2 linked regions of the Daphnia pulex genome follow. Each later gene encodes a partner of the first gene's protein in a complex. Links are inferred from orthologs where the notes say so. Each region holds a gene or a part of one and is shown in the gene's direction. Other genes may lie near its edges. The genes, in order: CCR4-NOT transcription complex subunit 9-like and CCR4-NOT transcription complex subunit 11-like.

Region 1 (3,527 bases):
AAAATTGACAGGCCAGAAACTTGCCTATTAGAGTATTAGATGAAATAAAAGAATGTTTCGGATATAGCGACATCTACCGTTTGTTTTAGACTCTCCCTTCCTTAAGTCCAGAGCCTTGATCCGCATGCCGGCAGATAGTTTTGTAGCATGATTGAATTCACGTTGTTGTTAAAAACAAATAAAGTTATTTTGAATTTCAGTAACTTAAAGTCTTCCTCAGAATCCGACGAACATCTCTGAATATCTCTGAAGTTTCATGGCAATATCGGCCGGACGGGGAGTTCGTTAGGAGACAGCCTGGACAGACATCGAAATTTTTTATTAGATTTTCTATACGCTACTTTAAAGATGGAAAAAAGAGGTTATACGAAAATATCTTGATTGAAAGCTACTCACCTCATTTTAACAAGCGATCCACGAATCAAGTAGACCAAAATCCCGGAGCGGCTTTCCTGATCTAAATCCGGAAAAGGCATTAAAAATCTAAAAAAAATATAGCCACGTTCGTCTTCGCACGCCGGATTTACCTGCGTTTGCAGAATGACGATTTTCCCCCCCGTTTAGGAGTTATTTAGGTCTAAAGTTTGGTTTTATTGAATTTTGTCAGAAAGTGGGGGGGCTTTGACATCCATTTTCGAAAAAGTGGGGGAGCTAGGGAAAAAACTAATTTTTTGAAAAGGTTTATTGCAATCTCAACCACCAAAATCCAAAAGGAATTTCCTTTCCGGATTTTATTGGTTGAGATATTACCAATTTAGTGAAAGGATTATTTAGCTGGTTTCCCTCCCTGGCTTGCAACCATTTTTTCGTACGGTCCGCTGCGCTCCTGGCGGAAGCCAGCAGAAGGTCTTATACATCGGCCAATAAGAAATCTGGGTTCACTATATATGAAGGCCTGTATAAATGCAATGGGTCTAATGTGAAGGCCGATATATAAGACCTTCTGCTGGCTTCCGCCAGGAGCGCAGCGGACCGTACGAAAAAATGGCTGCAAGCCAGGGAGGGAAACCAGCTAAATAATCCTTTCACTAAATTGGTAATATCTCAACCAATAAAATCCGGAAAGGAAATTCCTTTTGGATTTTGGTGGTTGAGATTGCAATAAACCTTTTCAAAAAATTAGTTTTTTCCCTAGCTCCCCCACTTTTTCGAAAATGGATGTCAAAGCCCCCCCACTTTCTGACAAAATTCAAAAAAACCAAACTTTAGAGCTAAATAACTCCTAAACGGGGAGGAAAATCGTCATTCTGCAAACGCAGGTAAATCCGGCGTGCGAAGACGAACATGGCTATATTTTTTTAAGATTTTTAATGCCTTTTCCGGATTTAGATCAGGAAAGCCGCTCCGGGATTTTGGTCTACTTGATTCGTGGATCGCTTGTTAAATCTTACCTGCGACCTGCGCGTTTGTCTTTGTTTTTTAGTGGTTTTTTTCTTATGAAACAATGTTTGAAAGCACCACTAGATGCTGGTACTAGCACCTCGATGATTCACCTCCCTGATCCCTCCCTCCATAAAGGAATTTCGGCCACACCACTTCATGGCCATACATCAAGTAGACCTTGTTTGGGATAAGCAATAAAAAAATAAAAAACCACTCAAAAATGGCGACTTCTTTGGTGACATCCAACTTGCAATCTGTTGACCGAGAAAAAATTTATCTATGGATTACAGAATTAACAAATCCTGAAACTCGTGAAAGTGCTCTTTTTGAATTAAGGTATAATATACGAATTTTTCTAAGCGATTAGGATTTGTTTCACTTTATCGAAGCAAAAGGTCCCGGCTTGTTGTTGTGGATTCGGCTTTATTGAAAAAGCATTTGCCATTTTTACATTCCAACTACCAGCAACAAGTGTGTTGTCTTGTTAGGGATAAGGTTCCATTTTCAAATGTTTGTCGATTGTTTCAAACATTAGAGACATGATGTCTTCCACTAGCTTTTTATTAATTTTTCATTTCTTCCATGCAGTAAAAAGAGAGAAGTTGTTCCTGATTTGGCTCCTATGCTGTGGCATTCATTTGGAACTATAGCAGCTCTATTGCAAGATATTGTAAGCATTTATCCAGCAGTAAGTCCACCTACTCTTACTGCTCAACAGTCCAACAGAGTTTGCAATGCTCTTGCTCTTCTGCAATGTGTTGCTTCACACCAAGAAACCAGATCTGCTTTTCTGCAAGCTCACATCCCATTATTCCTCTACCCTTTTTTGCACACTGTGAGCAAGACACGGCCATTTGAATATCTTCGTTTGACCAGTTTGGGAGTCATTGGTGCTCTAGTTAAAACTGATGAACAGGAGGTTATCAACTTTCTTCTTACAACAGAGATAATTCCATTGTGTTTGAGGATAATGGAAACTGGATCTGAACTGTCCAAGACTGTTGCAACTTTCATACTTCAAAAAATTCTCTTGGATGAAACTGGTCTGGCTTACATTTGTCAAACTTATGAGCGCTTTTCTCATGTTGCAATGATACTTGGTAAAATGGTTTTATCATTGGCCAAAGAACAGTCAGCTCGTCTTTTGAAGCACGTTGTCCGATGTTATCTTCGTCTTTCTGACAATCCAAGGTAAGGGACTTGCAAAAACCAAAAAGGAATTTTCGTATTGATATAAAATTCGACTATATTTTCTAGGGCTCGTGAAGCGTTGCGACAATGCCTACCTGATCAGTTGCGTGATAGCACTTTCTCAACATGTCTTAAAGATGATAAGTCAACTAAACAGTGGATGGCGCAACTTCTAAAAAATTTGGAAACTACTAATGGAATGGTAGATCCCCGAATCACCGGTTTGCCCTCAATGACTCAACCATGAAATGTTAAAAAAGAATGAATGCTCTTGTCTTGTCTTCAGCGAAAAATCGATCAGAATTATAATACAAACTTGCTGTATTGTTTTTTATTGCAACTAATTTTGCGGTTTCTGCTGACTTATTATATAAATTATAAACACGTGTTTCAGAGAATGTTAAATTTACTTATAAGATGTTCATTTGAGGATACACGAAACGGTGATTTCATTTTTGTTCAGTATCAATACGCAATATAAATTTGAAGTGTTATGTAAAAATTAGGTTCAATTTACTAACGCGAAAGACAAGGCGAAAGATGTAGCACGGGGCCACGGGTGTAGTGTCAAGACGGTTCAAGCTATCTATCTCTGTTGCAATATATTTTGTGACGATAAAAATGTTTTTGTTAACTGCCACGATTGCTTTTGGTCCTAACTTTTAAGTCTTAGATTTTTAATTGGTCCAAGTATTGAAAAATTACTTACTATTTTGTATTTTTGCAAATAATCGAATATTATCTGAGTGCACTACCGTAAAATAAGAAATTAGGTCTGAAAATTAATGAATAATGGGAATGGAAAATAAATAATATCAAGTTCGTTCGCGCAACCCGCACCCTCTGAACATTCCAAGAGATTCCAAGCTGAATTTTTGTACATTTTATAGAAACAAAAAAACCTTGAATTGTATGCTTTTTGGCCGCTACGTGGTGTTGAGGGAGGTTTATAG
Region 2 (4,061 bases), on another chromosome or scaffold:
AGATCGATACATACCTGACGGATCACGCTCTTTGATTATAGGAGGTTGCTGCTCTATAGTTGTCGGTGCCACAGGACCCTGGAACATGGGGTAGAAGATTTTTGGCCAAAGGATGGCGAAACAGCCGATCACAATGGCCAAAACCACTAGCGTTTTGCCTTTCGAGAACTCCGGCGCCATTTTTTCTTAGACTCTGTCACTCTCTCTCTTTCTCCCACACGGAAGCTACTGAGAGCGGTTAGTAGAGAGGGGACAGAATAATGATTATACGGCAGGAGCGTTTGTGCTTCGTAGAGATTTCTTCGCCCTTTTTTGTATCCAGCAGTTGTGGCATCGATCAACGCGACTGATCCTCGGAGAGAACTGCGCACGACTATATTCAAGCGGGGGAAGCGGCAGCTCTCAGTTTCCCTCTTGGTACCGGAGGGCGGATCCATCCGCGTCGACGCAGAACACGTTTGCTCAACTCTCTCAAGTATATAAATATCACGTTCCCCTTTCTCTGTACTCTTCCTGCTCCCGTTCTTCGCAATGTTGGTTTCCTTTCAAAGAAATTAAGAATGATAAATAAATTAGTATTCACCAGTAAGCTTGGTTTCAGTATCTCTTGTAATTTACCTGAGTTGGAACACTAGTCAATATTGAATTATCATTGATCTGTTGGTTTTGTTGGTTTGTTTCTTCCTTTCGATGGCTTCAACCAATTTCCATTGTATTGCAACGTCGCTTCGACTCTAGGATAGTGCGACTTTCAAAATAAGAACAAGAAGTAACATATTATTATAAAAATATTAAAAGATTTCCTTACTAAAATTATGCAACTTCTAACTAGTGAAATATCTACGTGCGTGTCATTATTTTAATCTTTTGATTACATTTTAAGCAGAAAAAAGTAGGTTGAAAAACCGATAAAATCATGTAAATATCTGGAGGAGCGGGAGGAGCCAGTCGAATTCTGTACAAGGTGAATTGGACGAGAACTAGAAGCATACTAGAAGACTAGGAAGTCTTTCATTGAACACAGTACAAGATATTCAAGTGATATTATAAACTTATCTCTACATGACCACAAACAGTAACATTGAACATTTTGAACTATTGCTGATAAACGCTTTCTTACCATCCTGTGCATGTGTTTTTTCACTGTAGTCGGAACTCTCAGGCATTTCAGCAGGACCGATTTCCCCGTGTGTGAGATTTTCATTTTTTGGTTTCAGTTGTTTCACGCCTGGTTTTCGTCTGCTTGCTTGCTGTTCTTCTTGCCACAAAATCAAAATAAGTAAACACTAAAAATAAATAATTAAATACATTTAGACGCTAACAGCAAAACGAGCAAATTCATAAATGAATGGAGTCCAATAAAAAAGCGCAAAAATTGTAAATAACGGGCAAATTACCCGCTTTGTGTTATCATTTTGGCTTGGCAACCTTGCATTCATTCAATGAAAATAATTAAATAACAAATAAAGAAAATGTCGGCATTGTCTGTCAAGGATTTGAATCAATTGCTTACGTAATTATACTTTAAGAATAACATATTTATTCGTTTTAATGGTCTAGGTATCTAATGTCTTAATTTTGAAGTATCTTAGATGCCGAGAATGTCGCTAACCAGAGTGTCGAAGCCTTGGCTTCTCAGTTGGGGGTCTTTAATAAACAAGAATACTTTAAAGGTATTATAAAAACCACTCGATTTTAGAAAAAAAATACGTTAACTAACAATTGAAAATCAAATAGTTGGAAATGCATTAGTTATGCTACTTCAGAATGCTGATCTGCTTCCTTCACCATCACAACGTCTGGCTGCAGTGTTATTGCTACATGAGCTTTTCAAACCAGATGCTCAGAATTTCCATCCATTCTCCTCAATTTTTGTGCAACTTCTTGTAAGTAAATATTATGTTGTTGTACATTCACTAGTAAAGTTATATTTTAAAAATCATTTTAAGGCTGATGAACCTCTACAAACCAAGAGACCAGATTCATATAGACTACTACCGAAACTCAGTCCTCCAGAAAAGATTTATTTATCTCATCTCATTACTAATCCTCAAAAAGAAGTATGAAGTGTTTTAAAATGTCATAGATTTTATTTGCTTAATTGAACTGCTATTGCAGATGTACAAAAAAACTCTCCGACAAATATTGAATTTTGACTCTACCAATTCAATGGCTGATATTTCAGCCCTTCAAATAAGTGTGACAGAGCGCCTTTCAGAGTACACTTTAGCAAGCAAAAGCAGAATACCTGCTGTTCTTTCAATGCCTGATGTTCGTCCCGGCTTTGACCCTATACTTCCGGATAGTAGTGCAATCAAGAAGACAGCAGAAGCTCTAATTACTGGTCCCAACGCCGCTATACAAGAATCTGTGGGTCCCGAGTTTGTGAGGTTAGCTCCTCCTCTATTTTGTCCGGACGAACTCGTCTGGATCGATCCAATTGGGGAAGTCGACCACATGATTGCTTACGACACTACAGTTTGCATACCTAGAGGTGCCGGCTCGGAAGCTCGGCGATTAATTTCGCAAGCTTTCACCGGTTCTTTGACTTTGCTACAACAAAACAGATTGCTAAGCGAATTAGAGCGCGATTCTCGTCTAGTCTATCACGTAGGAATCACTCCTAACAAAGTAAGCTATTTTGATTGTTGGTTTTGCATTTTCGCATTTGAATAATGCTTATTTTCGACGCAGCTACCTGCCTTGGTAGAAAACAATCCACTCATCGCAATCGAGGTGCTACTTCGACTGATGCAGTCTTCCCAAATAACGGAATATCTGAGCGTGCTGGTTAATATGGAAATGTCTCTGCATTCGATGGAAGTAGTCAACCGATTAACGACGGCTGTTGAGTTGCCAACTGAATTTGTCCATCTGTACATTTCCAACTGCATATCAACGTGCGAAACTATCAAAGATCGTTACATGCAGAATCGTTTAGTCCGACTTGTGTGCGTCTTCTTGCAGTCCCTCATTCGCAATAAGATTATCAACGTCCAAGTAAAGAACAAATCATGTCGTGTTAAGTTTGTAACGTTTCTTTACAAAATGTCTAATTTTTCATCTTCTTAAGGAGCTGTTTATCGAAGTGCAGGCATTCTGTATAGGTTTCAGTCGAATTCGCGAAGCTGCTGCCTTGTTTCGTCTCCTCAAACAACTCGACAGCGGTGATCAGAGTGGACTCAACAGCACTTCATCCATCGCATCCTTTCCTGGGCTGTCCTCACTCTCGACATCTTCCTTCAATCCTCAGGCATCACCTCTGGCATCAACTGCCAAAGGCAAAGGCGAATGAAAGTCGTTATTATTATTGTTGGATGTTGCATCGTATGTTCGCGTCTCAACTATTGAAACAACAGGCTTATTGATACAGTATATGCTATGGGAATCGAGGGTGAAGAGTTTTGAATATGATATATACAATTCACGAATTGTTTGCTCTTTGATCGTTTGAACCTTTCTAGAAAAAATTAGAGTGTGTACAAATTCGTCGTAAGAAGTTAAGGGTGGGTAAGGTTTTCGGTTTTAATTTTAGTTTTAAGCAGAGAATAATAACGGGAGTTAAATTAGGACACAATAAAAACCAACGAAGTGCAAATCTAGTTCATCATGTCAACTTCAAGATTATCGCTTCTTGTAACATTATTATGCATTTTGCCATTTTCCCCTAACGTGTGGTCGATTGCACAAAATCATGAAAAACAGATAATGAAAGCTACAAAGTACAAAGGGATGTACTACCTGAGCTAATGAGTGAATGTGAGTAGGAGATCGCTGATGAAAATTGAGGTCAATGATGAAATTGTAAGTTTCGAAAGTTATAGGTTGACAAATGAAAATCTAGCTGGCAATCGGTGAAAAAGTTGCCTCTACAAAAAATGTTAAGCAACTCATTTGGAGATCGGATGGATCGATCGTTTATCAAAATTTCAGCATTCACTTGTTTACTGACTCTGATTTACAAAACCAGCTTTACGGACAATTTTCTAAATTAGTTCATCTAGTATATAAAAGCTCCAACTTTTGAAAGAAAAAGTATAGTTCTGGTTGAACAATCCTCA

Evidence for each region.
Region 2: CCR4-NOT transcription complex subunit 9-like (region 1) and CCR4-NOT transcription complex subunit 11-like share a complex: the UniProt entries of both Homo sapiens proteins name them as parts of the CCR4-NOT complex. The link is inferred for Daphnia pulex from reciprocal best matches to the Homo sapiens genes CNOT9 and CNOT11.

The regions. Positions count from the first base shown.
Region 1 is NC_060018.1:7,201,689-7,205,215, forward strand, and holds CCR4-NOT transcription complex subunit 9-like, read left to right. Parts: upstream 1-1,522; 5' UTR 1,523-1,603; coding exon 1,604-1,719; intron 1,720-1,971; coding exon 1,972-2,574; intron 2,575-2,640; coding exon 2,641-2,821; 3' UTR 2,822-2,918; downstream 2,919-3,527. UniProt on the Homo sapiens protein: Component of the CCR4-NOT complex which is one of the major cellular mRNA deadenylases and is linked to various cellular processes including bulk mRNA degradation, miRNA-mediated repression, translational repression during translational initiation and general transcription regulation.
Region 2 is NC_060019.1:7,971,318-7,975,378, reverse strand, and holds CCR4-NOT transcription complex subunit 11-like, read left to right. Parts: upstream 1-1,404; 5' UTR 1,405-1,472; coding exon 1,473-1,513; intron 1,514-1,584; coding exon 1,585-1,673; intron 1,674-1,737; coding exon 1,738-1,886; intron 1,887-1,949; coding exon 1,950-2,060; intron 2,061-2,118; coding exon 2,119-2,631; intron 2,632-2,694; coding exon 2,695-3,000; intron 3,001-3,073; coding exon 3,074-3,295; 3' UTR 3,296-3,436; downstream 3,437-4,061. Other genes in the region: titin-like, read right to left, coding at 15-180. UniProt on the Homo sapiens protein: Component of the CCR4-NOT complex which is one of the major cellular mRNA deadenylases and is linked to various cellular processes including bulk mRNA degradation, miRNA-mediated repression, translational repression during translational initiation and general transcription regulation.